Alligator mississippiensis: one gene and its partner. The protein of the gene in region 1 purifies or fractionates together with the protein of each later gene. This does not show direct contact. Links are inferred from orthologs where the notes say so. Each region holds a gene or a part of one and is shown in the gene's direction. Other genes may lie near its edges.

Evidence for each region. The genes of interacting proteins can lie anywhere in the genome.
Region 2: the proteins of TNRC6C (region 1) and protein argonaute-3 purify together in Homo sapiens (affinity purification with mass spectrometry; 3 studies listed by BioGRID and IntAct, with this or other methods). This does not show direct contact. The link is inferred for Alligator mississippiensis from reciprocal best matches to the Homo sapiens genes TNRC6C and AGO3.

The regions. Positions count from the first base shown.
Region 1 is NC_081831.1:15,731,066-15,738,194, reverse strand, and holds the start of TNRC6C (trinucleotide repeat-containing gene 6C protein), read left to right. Parts: upstream 1-4,088; 5' UTR 4,089-4,165; intron 4,166-7,116; exon of another isoform or gene 7,117-7,129. UniProt on the Homo sapiens protein: Plays a role in RNA-mediated gene silencing by micro-RNAs (miRNAs). Required for miRNA-dependent translational repression of complementary mRNAs by argonaute family proteins.
Region 2 is NC_081829.1:9,020,388-9,028,129, forward strand, and holds the start of protein argonaute-3, read left to right. Parts: upstream 1-4,742; 5' UTR 4,743-4,952; coding exon 4,953-4,971; intron 4,972-7,742.

The DNA.
Region 1 (7,129 bases):
GAGGTGCAGGGCCCCAGAACCCCCCTGCACCCATCTCCTCAATAGCTGGCAGGTATCGTGGCCACAGCAGGGGCCACCATCCCTGCAGCTGTCACCTCGCTGCGCCTTAACACACCCAGTGTCACCCATGTCACGAGTTTTGCTTGTCCGCAACTTGAGGTGTAGTTCCCCCCAAACCCCTGCACCAATCTCCTTGAAACTTGGCAGGCTTTGTGGCCTCCATAAGAGCTACTATACCTGCAGTTTTGACCCCTCTGTGTTGTAACACACAGCCGTGACAGGAGTTTGGCTTTCAAGAATTTGGGGTACAGTTCCCCCCAAACTGCTTCACTGATCTTGAAGTTTGGCAGATTTTATGCTCTCAGCAGAGGCTACAATCCCTGAATGTTTCATCCAAATTGGACAACAAACAACAAAGTTATAGATATTTCATTGATTCCCCATTATACCCTATGGCCAGATCTCCAAGGTGGCTCTTGGCCCAATCAAGGTGGAAACGCGGTCCAGAGCTCCGGATCAGATCGTGGCCACCCGAAGCGGCTGGGTCCAAAGCCGGATCAGATCGCTGCCGACTTGCACAGGCCTACTGTATTTTAAAGCCCTTACAAAGCCACCCACCAGGTACATAAAGAGCATAGAGGCAGCTACAACAGTTAATGGGCTCATCTACGTGAGATGCTAAAAGCCCATTGGACTAATTCTACTGTGCATTAGTGCAGCTGGCAAAAACTGTGCTAATGCGCAGTAGATTAGTCCAATGGGCATTAAGTGTCACACAAAATGCCAGTTACAGTGCATTTAGTACCTGTTATTCTAGACACTAAAATTAATGTGCCATAATTACAGTGCATTAATGAATGTGTAGACACACAGGTGTATTCCAAAATAGTACCTTGAGCATCAGCACTTGATTTCTGGAGGGAATAAAAGTTGGACAGGGCGCTCAAGAAAATATGTTATTCTTGATCCTCTTTGGAAAGTTTCATGGGATCTAACTTCAGCTGGATTTTGGTAGATGGGATCTCAATTTAACATCATTAAATTGAGCATCTGTTATGACTGTAATCAGTACAGAAACTCAAGTGGTAGTTGGGCTGTATGGTAGGTGTTAGCTGTAAAGATGGGTTGGCAGGACAGCTGTTAATGTTTTGGAATGGATGGGGTCAGAAAGCAGATATCATGCCTCAAATCATTAACCAGAATAATTTAATGGGTCTAAACCTCAATCAAGTGGCAGCACCTGCAAAAAAAAGAGGCCTTGAAGGTCAGGCTTCAGGAACTGTGTGTCAATCTGAAAGACTTTAACAAGGACATAAAGGAGATGAATTGAGAAGGAAAAGAGGAGATCTCTATACATGGCTACAGTAGTTACAAATTCAGTATGAGGTTGGCACTAGTTGTATAAACCCTGCATAATCCATAGAGGTGCAAGGATTAAGAGTCAAAGAAGGAAACCCCCTTTCCCTGTAATATTATCCTAGCTGTGAAGACTGGAGGTCAATTGTCCCAGGTGAAGCTATTTGAAGCAGCCTAGCAGGAAGGGAAATCTGCTGGGTTGAGTAATTGTCATCCTGTATAAAAGAAAGAAGAAAAAAAGAGGTAAGGAATTGCTTTGAAGAGCCTGTTGTATTGGGGTGAATATGTCTCTCTTTCTTTCTTTCTTTCTTGTAAAAGTAAGTTGAGTTGGTTTCCAATAAAGCTGGTATTGCTGGGTAATTTTGTGGTGGCTTTGGTATAGGAAAGGAGATTGAAAATAAGGGGGGGGGGGGTTCCCCCCCACTTCATCTAATTTTACTTCATTTTCCCCCTTTACAGATCATGTAAAAAATATACTGGTAAATCTGATGCAAAAATAAAAGAAGAAAATAGAGACTAAAGAGAATAAGAGTGTTATAAACCAGCTTTGAATCTTTCTACATTTCCACTGCGAAAGACCCATTACATAGTTAAGCTACAGTATAGATGGGGCCAAACTATACCTTGTTAACTAAAATAATGCCATAAACATGTCTTGGTTCTAGTTAGCATGGGTTAAAAATCCCGGTTATGTTTCCTTGTGGGAAGCTCTGAAGGAAAAAATTCTTGCCTGCTTGCTTGGGAGTGTGGGGAGGGATCTAGTATTTAAACGAGAAATGGAAACAGAATTCTTAAGCTTCTTCTAAAACTCTTTCGTTTCTAAAGTTGTTGGTTTTTTTTTCTTGTTGAAAAACTAGAAACCAGCCAATAAAAACGTTTCAGACTAAGATTGTCTTGCCAAAATTAAATACTGTCTGATTTGGCAAAAATGCTTTGATGGGAACACTTGACCATTTCTAACTCCAGGGCTGTGACTAAGGCCTGAACTTATTGGTTGAGTTCCCTCCTCCCTGCCCTGTCTTTTTTGTTCGTCTCTCCTAGAACCAAACCTTTATTCGTTTTCTCAACGCAGTCTTCTTTCCCATTACCTAAAGGTCTTTGCTTCTCTTGAAAGTTCCAGCATTTCTAGCTAGCGGGCGTTTTCTTATTTTACAACCAATATAGAAGTGGTGTTTCTCATTAGTCAATGAGCTGACCAGCATGCCTATACGGGGGGGGGGGGAAGGCACTTCAGAATACGTTTGTAGTTTTGAGTCTCAAAACCATATATTCCATCTGAAGTCGGTGACAACTGAGAGCTCGCAGCAGCTCTTGAATTTGAGTCCCTACTCTCCCACTCACATCAAAACTGGCACTGAGCATGTAAACCAGCATGGGGACTGTAACAAAGTGCAACCGTCATTTTAAAAGCAGTTACAAACCTAGCATAGCTGACTCCCAAATGCAGCCCTACAAAAATGGAGCTTTTAAATGCGTAGTCCCCAGAGGGATGCTGGAAACTGAACTGGGTGGGAAGTATGTTTGGATAGGGGCTTGTGAACAAGCTCCCTTTTCTCTGAGTAGAGTTAGAGACCAGGGAAGAGTCCAGACGGGAAAGTCATGTCTCCCTAGCTTTCTCAGCTGAAGGATCGGGCTGGGGTTGTGAGCCCAGGATATAATAGCCTCTGCTCTGCTCTCTAGGATGCATCTCATAGCTCATTCACTTTTATTTCAACATTTACGTTGCTGGAGCCACCAGCTCTGGCCATTTGAAAGGGAACTGTGGAGTTGGATGAAGCCAAGCTTGGATCGACACGAGAAGCCTTAGGCATCGCAACATTTTCAGCCTTGTCTGGAGGCAACATCCTCCGCTTAATGGTATTCCTAATTTTCCTGCCTGTTGGGTAGGAGCAGCCAATTTGTCCCACAGGTGCCAAAAGCCCAGTCTGAGGTGGCTGCACCAAAGGCCATAATGGATGAATTGCTGGGCTGAGGGGAAGCCAGAACAAACTAAAATTTGGAGGTTTGATTTGGCATCAAAGCTGAAATCCCCCTGCCCCCAGAAGGCATTCTGGATAATCAGCATAGTTTGATTTTTATTTAATTTAATTTAATTTTATTATTACTATTATTTTTACCTGGGTCTTCCAGGGAGAGCCCCTAAAACATAGTATTGCCCAAAGTCACCTTACTCTGTCTAGCACTGCTGAAACTCTCCTGTGCTGGCAGGGAGAGCTAAACTCCAAAATGGCAGACTGAAATGCCTAAAGCAATGTCCCTCACTCAAATACACGAGAGGGAGTGTGAGACTGCCCCTTGGCTTTTGACCTAGTCCCTTGAACTTGGGGGTCTGGTTCATGATATATGAAGCTGGCTGCTTAGCCTAAGCAAACTAAAGGAACTAGCCCAGGGCAGGACTGATCGATGTAAACTGACCTTTTTCTTACGTACCTGATTGCAAGTTCAGTCTGGCATTGATTCCACAATGCCGTTCCCTGAAGATAAGCTCCCTGAGCTACAAAATAGAGTCTATCCTTTGTTTTCTGCTGCCACCCTCCAGACCTCGCATACAGTAATAATAGCTCTCCTGTATTACTTAGGAGGAGGCTTAAGAAGCAGGTGAATTGAAGGGTTTGGAGCCCTGGGAGGGGAAATTCTTGGGAGTTTGTTGCAGATCCCTGAAGTAGCTGGAGCTGTGGGAATAGATTTGATAACAAAGGGTATCCAAGGACAGATGGTGCAAGGCTGAGGAGACACAAGTAATCAAGTCTCAGGAGAGAGTTAAGGAACAAACAGAAGAAAAGAAGAGATCCCAGGCTTTGAAGAGAGGGTGAGCTTATACCTGAGGGTTACCTTTCACTAAGTTTTCTGTGAGCCTTGAGGGGGACTGTGGACCACAAAGGGCAAGGACCAGCTGTCGGGGATGTTGTATACATTTGTTTGCCATGGAAGAGCTGGATTTTTTTCCCCTCCCTCATTTTGCCAAAATTACCTGCTCATCCTGGTGAAAAATGGAGAGTGGCTGCTGCTTTGGTAATGGAAATAGATGGGTTATTAATATTGTAGGAAGGGTTTTGCAGATTCACAAAACATGGATAGAAAAGACTTAAATCTACCCTCAGACTAATGCAATTTTTTTCTTCCTCAAATATTAGCAGAGCACGCTGTCTAGTGTTTGTTCAGTTAAACATAAGCAGTAAGTCTGTAAATGTTGGGGGGAGGGGGTTGATGTCTTGTCTTCATTTTCCCTTATTTAAGCATATCCCTTCAGTCTTCATTACACCAACCTGTACCCCTCTAAATGGGTCCTTTGCATCTTTAGGTGTTGCATGCTGCGAGCATATTCCCTTCAAGCACTGTCAATCAGAAAGCAGTGCCTGTTTAATAAAATAATGCATTGCACACAGTAAACTTCCGTGTCTCATGTCTCATAACACAGCTATGAGGTAGGCACTGGGTTACCATATTCCACTGTCCAGGATCCTGAGGGAAGATAGAAAAGTGATTTGTCTAAAGCCATACATAAAATATGTGATAGAGGAATAAAACCCAGGATTTCATATCATGCTCATCATCACTGTAATATTTGAACACATTCTAGTAGCATATTAAGTGATGTGGCTAGCATGTCGCATGTGGTTCATCTCTGTCTCTTCTCGCCCCGCCTTGTCCCCCCAAGGGGAAGCATTATGTGCATAGTACGGTAGTTTGTTTTGGTAGGCTATTGGTTTGGGGTTTTTTTGTAAAATGCAGACACTGCTCTGTCTGCACTAGAGAAAGCAGCTTGAAGAAGTGTGCCTTGCACTTAGAATGGGAAGGGATGAAGTTTCTCTCCTTTTGTCGTGTACCCATTCCTCTAATCATTTTCTTTACCAGTCCTTTCTTCTCTTTCCGATTGCTCTCTTTTGAGATTAAAAAAAAGAAAGCTGTGGTTATTCAAAGTGGAAAACCTTGAAAATAAGAGCGTTTTCAATGAGCATTTAAAAGTTAGCAGAGAGGTTTTTAAAAATCTTTGTTCTTGAAGGAAAGCATTTGTTTGCAAAGCAGATTGGCAGTCCTGTTTTGTTCTGGATGTAAACTGCTTGGTATATAATCTGAATTTAACAGTTACCAATTAACAGGAAGATTGGTACAATAGCAAGGGCAATCACACAGCCAGGGTGGGATTTTATTTTAAAGGTGAGTTTAAGAAAACAAACCCAACATTTTAAAATGTGTTGAAGAAATTGAGAGTAAATGATGTTATATTTATAACACCCTACAGCTGAGTGCTAAAGAGTATATTTGGTGAGAAAGCGAAAACATCACAAGCAACAAAGTCAACTACTGGTAGCATTCAGTACAACTGCAGCACTTGACTACATAGGGAGGATGAAAGGGGACTATGAGCCTGATAGAAGAGACTTGAGGATGGGATGCATAAGGAGGATAGCATTCCAGGGAGCTGGAGAAACAAGAGGAAAAGCAAAATATTTAGAAAAAATGTTGGAGAAATGAATTTTATTAAAAAAATGAGAAGTTGGTAGGAGTAGAAAATGCTGAAGTAAGAACAGTCTGATCAGGATAATAGTGGGGAAAGCAAGGTCCAAAATGTGCTGTCAATATTTATGGTTCTTTGACTTCTGACATTAAATAATTCTCAACAATTAAAGAAGGACTTAAAGAGTATTTGCAAAACAGGTCACTGTAACATATATTTTGCAAGTATAGTTGCACATAGTTCCATAATCCAAAACGTAAGGTGAGAGAACAATGTGGCAACATCTACCAGAAGTGGGGCAAAGTGAGATACTTGGGCCATGTCATCTGGAACAAACTGAGTGGCCAACGCCAGTAGGATGTCAAGAGCTCCTTCTAGTGCTATGGTGTGACTACATCAAGCCTTCAGCTGTGTACACCCGAGTTCAAAGTTTCCTTAAGATCACAAGGAAAAAAATAAGTTGCAGAGAAGGGCTTAGAACTGGACTAGATGGGGATGCAAAAGACTCACTATTGTTGGGGATTGGCAAAGTACCAGCGGGGCCACTGCTGGCATGGTGGTATAGGAATAGAGCTCTTTAGTAGTAATATCCAGGTGCTGGGCGGCTTTGGTGTAGCTTTGCAGGGCTGAGCATGTATGAGTAGGGCTGCGCGCAAATGGGAGCGGGTGCAGGACCTGCCTATATCACATTTTACACTTGCCTCCGTGATTCAACCTAAGCAACACATTCACTTAAACATTATTTGAAACGTTTTTTCCTCTCCAAGCCCTAACCATCCATTATAATTGGTCATTCCTTCTTCTCCTTTGATTAATGACATTTGAGTGAGAGGGTGGAGAATATACTTTGAAGTTATACACAGAGCTTTGATTTTTTTTTTTTTTAATGGTTTAATATTTTGGCTCATGCCACATGCAAGCAATCTCCGTATGCAAAACAAAATGCTCCCCAGCGCTGGCTCCTTTGAGCATGTCCTGTTAACTTCCTACGAGCAAAACCCTTTTGAACAGCCATTTCGGCATGTGTGAAATTGATTTCATATCCACCCTTCTCAGTGAAAGAAAATGGCGGCACAGAGCTGTGGGCTTTACAAGCTCCTCTTTCTTTCTCTCTCTCTTTATTTTTGAGATATCTTATTCTCACCGCTTGTCTCAGCTGTACAAGACAGATGACTTTAAATCTCTCTGATGCTGTGTCTGGTGCCTGCAGGTTAGCCACACTGACTTAACATGCAGTTTCGACTCTGTACCTTCTGGTGAGAAAAACAATAGGAAACAAATTTACAACTGCCCCTCCCCAGGTAATTTGCATAG
Region 2 (7,742 bases), on another chromosome or scaffold:
TATTTGTAACTTGGAGCAGAAGGACCCAGCTGCATCTGCAGCCTCCTGCAGTGTGTGTGTGTGTGAGGTCCAGCCTTGGTAATGTGGACTTATGGTATAAGCCAGGAGTTAGTAAATCATTGTCTGTTCAGCTCGGACTGGTAGAGGACATCTGCATGCTGGTTTGGGGGTCTGGGAGTTAGGAGTAGTGATGTCTGAGCCTGACTGTGCCTGCCCTTCCAGCTCTCACTATGATGGAAATCTCCTTTGCTAATATTACACATCAAATTCCCCATCTCCCCTATAATTAATCCTCACTGAGATACCCAGTTGTCACTGAATGGCCCACCCCTACTTTTATTTACAGCTGGGTAAAACTTTCTGACTGTCCATTCCCTATGGGTTACCTATCATAGCAAAAAGTTCAGGGTGTTGGCAGTGGCACTTAATTATCGTAGCCTGGCATATGCTAGGGGACTTCACCTCTGTAAACTAGACACTGTGCAGTGTGTGTCTTGGAGTTGAACAACTTATTTATCCAGACAGCTCTGTGCCATTCTATTACTACCCTTTATTGTGTCCCTGTTTCTGTTCCCAAGAGTTTTCCACTCACTCATCCGCTAGTAGAATATTTATATATTTTCCTCCTTCCTTCCCTCGTCCAGAGAGAGATTAGAAATGTGTGCAGCCCAGCTACAGGAGTACCACTGAGAAGTTAGTGCTTTCCATGTGTCACTGCAGACAGATCTGGTGCAAAATGCACTAATTCTGAGCTGCCTTTACACCAGTTGAAGTGCTCCACTGCAAGTACTTTCCCATGTATAGCAAGAGGTATTTGAAGTGCTTTCAGTGGTGAAAATCTTTAGTGTAGACAAGCCGTTTAATTTGAACTCCAAGCTCTTCAGTGTGGAATGACTTGTCCAGATTTGGGCTGGATTGGCACTGGGGTAACAAAAGAACACAGCCTGGGGACCTGGAACAGCAGCAGAACAGCAACAGCTCCGTTCCTCGCAGACAATGTGTGCGTTTTCACAAGTCTGTCTAGGATTAAGAAAAAAGCACTCAATCAGTTATCCACTGGCTCTTGGGTGCAAATTAAAACCTTGCCTTTGAGGTCAGTAAAAGGACTAAAGTACTGTTGCTCTTTGATTGTGATGTATAATGCCATTTACTTACAATCCCACTTCTTTAGAAGGCATGAGCTCCCCCTCTAATCTGCCTTGGGTTGGACATCTACCATAAACCACAGGCAGCTGTGGTTTAGTCTGCAGGAACATTATGTCCTGCTCTGATACTGTGCTGCCTGTCGGAAAACGTTTTTCTTGCTTCTGTGTAGAGGCAGGCTTTAGTCTAACTGTTTTTTCCCTTATTGATGTGTGTGGGAATATATCATGAGTGAGGGTTTAACCATCTTTCCCCCTTCCAAACCAGAAAGGCCTTATCTCTACTACACATCTTCAACAGCAATCAGTTCTTTCATTCCCCAGCTTCTATATAAATGTAAGTACCAATCAAGCTATTAATTTCCCTGTCAATTTGGGGTTTACTCTGCATCTCCCTGACTAACTTTCAGTGCAGTAAGAATCACATGCAGTCTGTCTCTCAGATATCACCATGCTTGGCAGTGGAGTACCAGCTTCAAGTCCAAAAACAGCAGTTGGCTTTTGTATGTGTGCGTGCATGCATAGAAAGAAATTCTCAGAAACTTTCCCTGTTGCTCTGCACTAAATAACTGAGCAAATTGGGCAGCTGGTTCCAGGCTCACTAACAGCATTTTCTAGGGATGGCGGTATAGGACTGTACATTTGGCATAGCTAATCCTGGCAGGAGGGCAATAGTAATACGGTGCAGAGAAGGGAACATAAAAATGACTGTTAATTTCCACCCTGCAGCCTACATTGCTTAACAGCCTTAGTTGGATCCTTTTTGCCCCTTGCTGCTTTAAAAAAAAAAAATGTTTTATTCTGCAAACTACTCTAAGGGCCCTTTATTTTCTTCATGGTCAGCTCTGTAAAATTCTGAAGCAGTTTATACTGACTGCTTTTAATAGTTGAACTGTAATACAGCTTTCCTCGCCAACCACGGTTTTGAGTATCCACACTTAATATTCTGTATACCATTTTGGCTACCACAGTATGCAGTTTTGAGTAACCACGGTTTTCCATGGCTGTGCATCAGCCCACCACCTGCCATTTTCCACCTACGCCTTTTGTCTTGCCAACCACAGGAACTTTCAGGAACCTAACCCCAGCGGTCAGCGAGGGAAACCTGTACTGGATTGTGGATAAGCACATCACCCTTCTAAGGGAATAATAAAATGCCTTTCTGATAGTACATCCCATCCTGTCAGGTTCCATCATTGATCAACTGAACTACAGAGTGAACTTTTATGTGGGCATCACTTCATCCATTCCTGTAAGACAGATGCATTCAGTAACCTGTGTATGCTCTGGGGAGCTTTAGTTTATTTCCTCTTGGGTTTTAGCTCACTTTTTCTTTTTACAGGGAATACAGGTACTAATTTTAAAGACAAATTTATCTTTTGCTACTAACATGCCTGCAGCTATTAAATATAATACCCATTTGAAAACACGGAGCTACTGCATCTCAACCAGTGCACCTGGCATGAATCTGAAAAAGAATCATAAAGACCAATCAAAAGTACAAGTGACTGATGTCTTCATCAACATGCAAAGAGTAAATGGAGAACAAAAAGCAAAGGTGGGTGTTTAACAGTTCTTTTGCTGTGTGACTGGCTCCCCTGACTGACAGAGTACAGGAAATGCAATAAAGTTGCATGAATTAATTTAGCCTCAAGGTTCTCTTCCAGCTTGTTTCTGTCACCTCTTGTGAACCACTTGACTCATTTCCAGGTCATAATTTCTCCCCACCAAACACACACAGCCTTTGCTGCTGCTTTTATATTTAAATTTCCTATTTTGGGAGTTGTTTTCATTGTATAAGATGTTTAAGTTAACTTGCCTAGATTTTATTTTTTGTGTCTCCTTTGTTCCTGTGAGTTCACTGCTTGCTTGTTTGCCTCTCCCAGCACTGCCCCTCTCCCCTCGCTTTCTCCCCTACCTTGCTCTTTGCATTCTGATTTCTCTTCCCTTATATTTTGCTTTCTACACATCCTTTCACAGCATCTGATGAAGTGAACTTCAGCTCGCAAAAGCTTGTGCGTTTGCGCTCTAATCTTTCGCTCTCCCTGGGGTGGGGAGAGTATATAAACTCTTTCTTTCTCTCCCTCTCCCTCTTTCTTTCTCTATATATGTATAATTTTCTCTATACATTACCTCTTTCATTCTCCTCTCCCTATCTCTCATATTATCTCTAATTTCTCTCTCTTATTCTCTCAACAGATATAGAGTATATATGTGTGTGTATTATATATTCTCTAGTCATCTCTCTCAACATATACATATGTTGAAGATGCTAGTGTTGTGTGTGTGTGTGTGTATTCTCTACTTTGAGATATATCATCTCTATGCACATATGTTGAAAGATAATGTGTGTGTTGAAATAATTATATATACTGTGTGTGTGTGTGTGTGTATGTATGTATGTGTGTGTGTGTATATGTATATATATATATATATATAATCTCCTATGTAATCTCTCTCTAGCTAGCTAGATATCTCTATCTCTACATGTAATTTCTCTCTACATAGAATATACATAGACACACTATACTCTATATTCACCTCTCAACATATATGTAGAGAAGTATGTATATATTTGCTCCCTCTCTCTCTCTCTCATGTGTGTGTGTAGGTATATATACACATCTCTCAACATATACATCTGTGTGCATATGTATAACATCCTTTATCTAAAAAAATCGATATATACACACGTGTGTGTGTGTATGTATATGTATATAATGGAGAGAGATATGTATACATAGAGAATTATGTTCAGAGAGAATATAAACTAAAAAAAATATATGTAATCTCTACATATAATCATCTCAACAGATATTTATATAGAGAATATATTCTATTCGCTATACATATAGTTCCTATATTCAATCTCAATATTTATATACTCTATGTAAGTATATATTCTTTCTCTATAGTCTCTATTTGTGTGTATATATAATCTCTACATATCTCAAATATGTATGTTGAGAGGAGATGATAGACATGGTGTCTGTATGCATACAGACGATTTCTCTGTGTAATGTGTGTGTGTGTGTGTATAAATATTGGATCCTCTCAAGATTATAGAGAAAATGTATATTGTTTATAATCTCTCTACATATAGAAAATCTCTCTGCGTGTGCACACACCTCTCTACACGTGTGTGATTATATGGATATGGAGAGAGAGAGAGAGAGTGCATATATTCTCTTTATACATATAATTTCTGTATATGTTGAGAAGAGAGATATTCTCAGCATTTATCTTCACATACGTCTTGAGATATAATGTTGAAAAGAGAGATGTAGGAACTATACGCTGTCTCTATGCATACATATATTACCTCTCTCAACATCTATATTGGATTGTGTCTCTATAGAGATTATAGAGGAAAATAAGTGCGTGTGTGTATAAAATCTCTAAATTGTTTCCCTACTTCCTCCCTCTGGCTCCGCCTAGCAACGGTTGCCCGGGCAACCTCGCCCCAGTTCCGGCCCCGCCTCCTTCCGCGCGTTCGCCGGAAGCTGTTCGCCGGAAGTGACCGCGACCGGCGTGTGGGCGGGGGTGGAACTTCCGGCGGTTGGTGCGCGCGGGGCGGCGCGGCCGACGGGGGCAGCGCGCGCCGGGGGCTGGCGGCGGCCACGCAGCGTCCGCCTCGGGGGGTGCCCGTCACGCTCCCGCTCGCCTCTCGCGCCGCCGGGCCCGGCTGAGGGCGGGCCGCCGCCCCCCGTCGCCCAGCCTCGCGCCCCGTCCGGCCGGCCGGACCCGGCGCCGTCGGGAGAGGCGGGAGCCGGCCCCTGCAGCGCGAGGGAGGCCGCCCCAGCTCCATGAATGGAAATCGGCAGCGCAGGTGAGCGCCGGGCCGGGCCCCTCGCGCTGGGGACACGTCCGCGGGCCCCTGGGAGCCCGTTGGCCAAGGCTGGAGTTGCCTCGAGCCCGTGTAGCGCTGGGCGGCGGGGACCCCGGCCCCACGTCCACACCCAGGGTCGTGGGAGCCCCGTGCCGGGACAGAGGGGCGTTCATCGGATGCCCCCGTGGCCCTCGCTGCTGTTTGGGGAGTGGGACCCCGGGTAGGGGGCTTTGCTCTCCGCCGAAACGGGCTCTCCGGTACCTCTCTACCATGGGGAAACTGAGGTTTGTACAGACCGGGTCGAAAGCAAGTCTCCCGCGGTGACTTCGAAGCACTCGGTAGATGTGCGAGTGCCCGTTAAAAAAATGCCTCGGGTCCCTGCCGACGGCTTCTCGGTGGATCAGTTTGGTCTCCGTTTCCGTCCGGCGCTGGCCAGCCCCCGAACCCGAGCGGTCGGAAACTAGAAAATATTCGGTTCTGTGCCATTGAGCCGTCTGATCTCTGCAGAGGAGTGTAAACAGAACGGTTTCCCCTTCCATCACCCATACAATATATGTGTGTGTGTGTGTACGTGTGTGTGCACAGACACATACACAACTAGCATCTTCAGATGATGGTATCTGACAAGTGGAAGCTCCGTCCTTGGAGATCGTTAAGACCCGGCTGGACAAAGCCGTGGCCGGGATGGTCCTGCTCTGAACAGGGCATTGGACTAGATGTGACCTCCCGAGGTCCACTCCCATCCAACCTCTTGTTTTAGTTATTGTTGTGAGAATTGGAAGCAGTCTCTGTAAAACTGATGGTTGTGAATTAAAGAACTGCCTATTAGCAGTTCTTATATCAAACCGATGCGGCCCATAGCTGTTAAGTAACTGATGGACTGTAGAATTCTTTAAAGCTCCGTCTAACGGTAGCCCAGCCTTGGGGCATAGTTGCAGAGATGATCAACCAATATAATCAAAACTGTTTTAATTACGAGTTATAGGGAGCCATATGTATTCAGTATTTTTCTAAAGAGGGAAAAAAAGTAAAGGTCTGTTTGTATTAAATTACTTTTGCTTCTGGTTTGTTTTGTTTTATCTTTTATTTTGTCTACTGCACAAGAGATTTGGGTTAAATTAGCAGTCTGATCAGGAGTTTTCACTAGCCCGTTTATCTTGAAATGCGGTGCTTATGACTTATAATAGTATGTGGATACTCCCCTGGTCTGAGATTCTTAAGAAAGGAGCTGTCTTAATATATCAAAGGAGATTACTTCAGTGCAGTAAGATGGAAAGTCAGCAGGAGAGTTTGTTTCCCCTTTGCTCATTCAGCGACATATTAGGGAGTTGAAGAACAAATGGAACTTCAGGAATTTTAGACTTGCAGTTTTCTTAGCTTCCAAAACATGTCAACACATGGTAAAAACATGAAAACTAAGCTGAAAGATTCAGTGTAAACAAACATGTACAGGCACACTTATGATTGATGGAGGGAGTTAAATTAATGCTGAATTTGGTCCTGGAAACATTAATCCGGATTACAGAAGCTATACTTTTCTTTAGTAAGAGATATGCCTGAACCAAAGCCATTTTAGGAGTTGCAGTGATCTGGTTTCATACTATTAACTTTGAATACCAATATTCTGAGAGTGTACGTGTGTGTGTAAAAATCCTAGCTGGCTTCTAACTGCTTGTAACCCATGTAGGACGCATTGCATCAACAATGTCTAACTTTGGTGGAATCTGGCCTGTGTGGCTTTTTGAAGGCTGGATGTGACCGCCCTCTGTGAGAGCCATTGTGTGGATGTTGCTTTGGAACTTGGGCCAAATGCCTCCCTCCCCCCTGCCACCTATTTGAGTCACTAGCAGTGACCAAAGACCCCAAATACAAGTGATGATCATATTCACCCTTTAGGGTCCAGAGTCATGTGGGCAGCAAGTTAAATCTCTTGTGGGCTGTATTTGACCCATGAACTGCCACTTGAACAGCTCTGTGTTACATTACATCATTGGTAGGGCATTGGCAGCGCCCACATCCTCCTGTTTTACCTGTGACAATTTAGGGCGTTCTTGGTAGGAGTTTTGTGACCGGTTGATTTGTATGTAATAGTATAGACCAAATACTTGGATGATTTAGAAAGGGATGATCCTGCCTTGAGCAGGGGCTTGAACTCCTGAGGTCCCTTCCAGCTCTATTGTTCTGTAAACACAGCTCCCCTTTCTTCAGAATGGGATAATTTGCAGGTAGAATAGATAATGGAAACGCCCACTTCACGCAAGACCTTTGGCTTTCAGTCTGAGTATGCTGTTCTACCATCCAAAATAATTTAGCCGTGTTTCACCTCAGGCTGTTTTTCAGAGGTGGTTATGCTTATTCTATATAAATGTTCTCAGAGGATGATTTACTCAGTTGAATTCAAGGTCAGTATGAACTTTTAATCAATTTTTTAAGCTAAATGAGGTTTCTGTTAGTTCTTCAATCACACCAGTTCATCTCTTGCAAGACTATTACTATATTTGCTTGTAGCAAATGGTACAGTTAAGGTAGATAGTGCTAGCTGAGACTGCAAAGACATTACAGTCCATTTGATGACATTTGTTAGTCTGTTGCTGTGTTCCCCATACATGCTTCCAAATCTAGTCAACATTGGACAGGCCCAACTGAATAAGGGTGTCTGTGGCTCCAGGGATAGAAAAGAGACCTCAGTTTCAAGCACCTTTTTAGTAGCTCATAAACCAAAGTAGCAGCTGATAGTGCTGCTTAATGTCTGCCAGCATAGTGCTATTGTC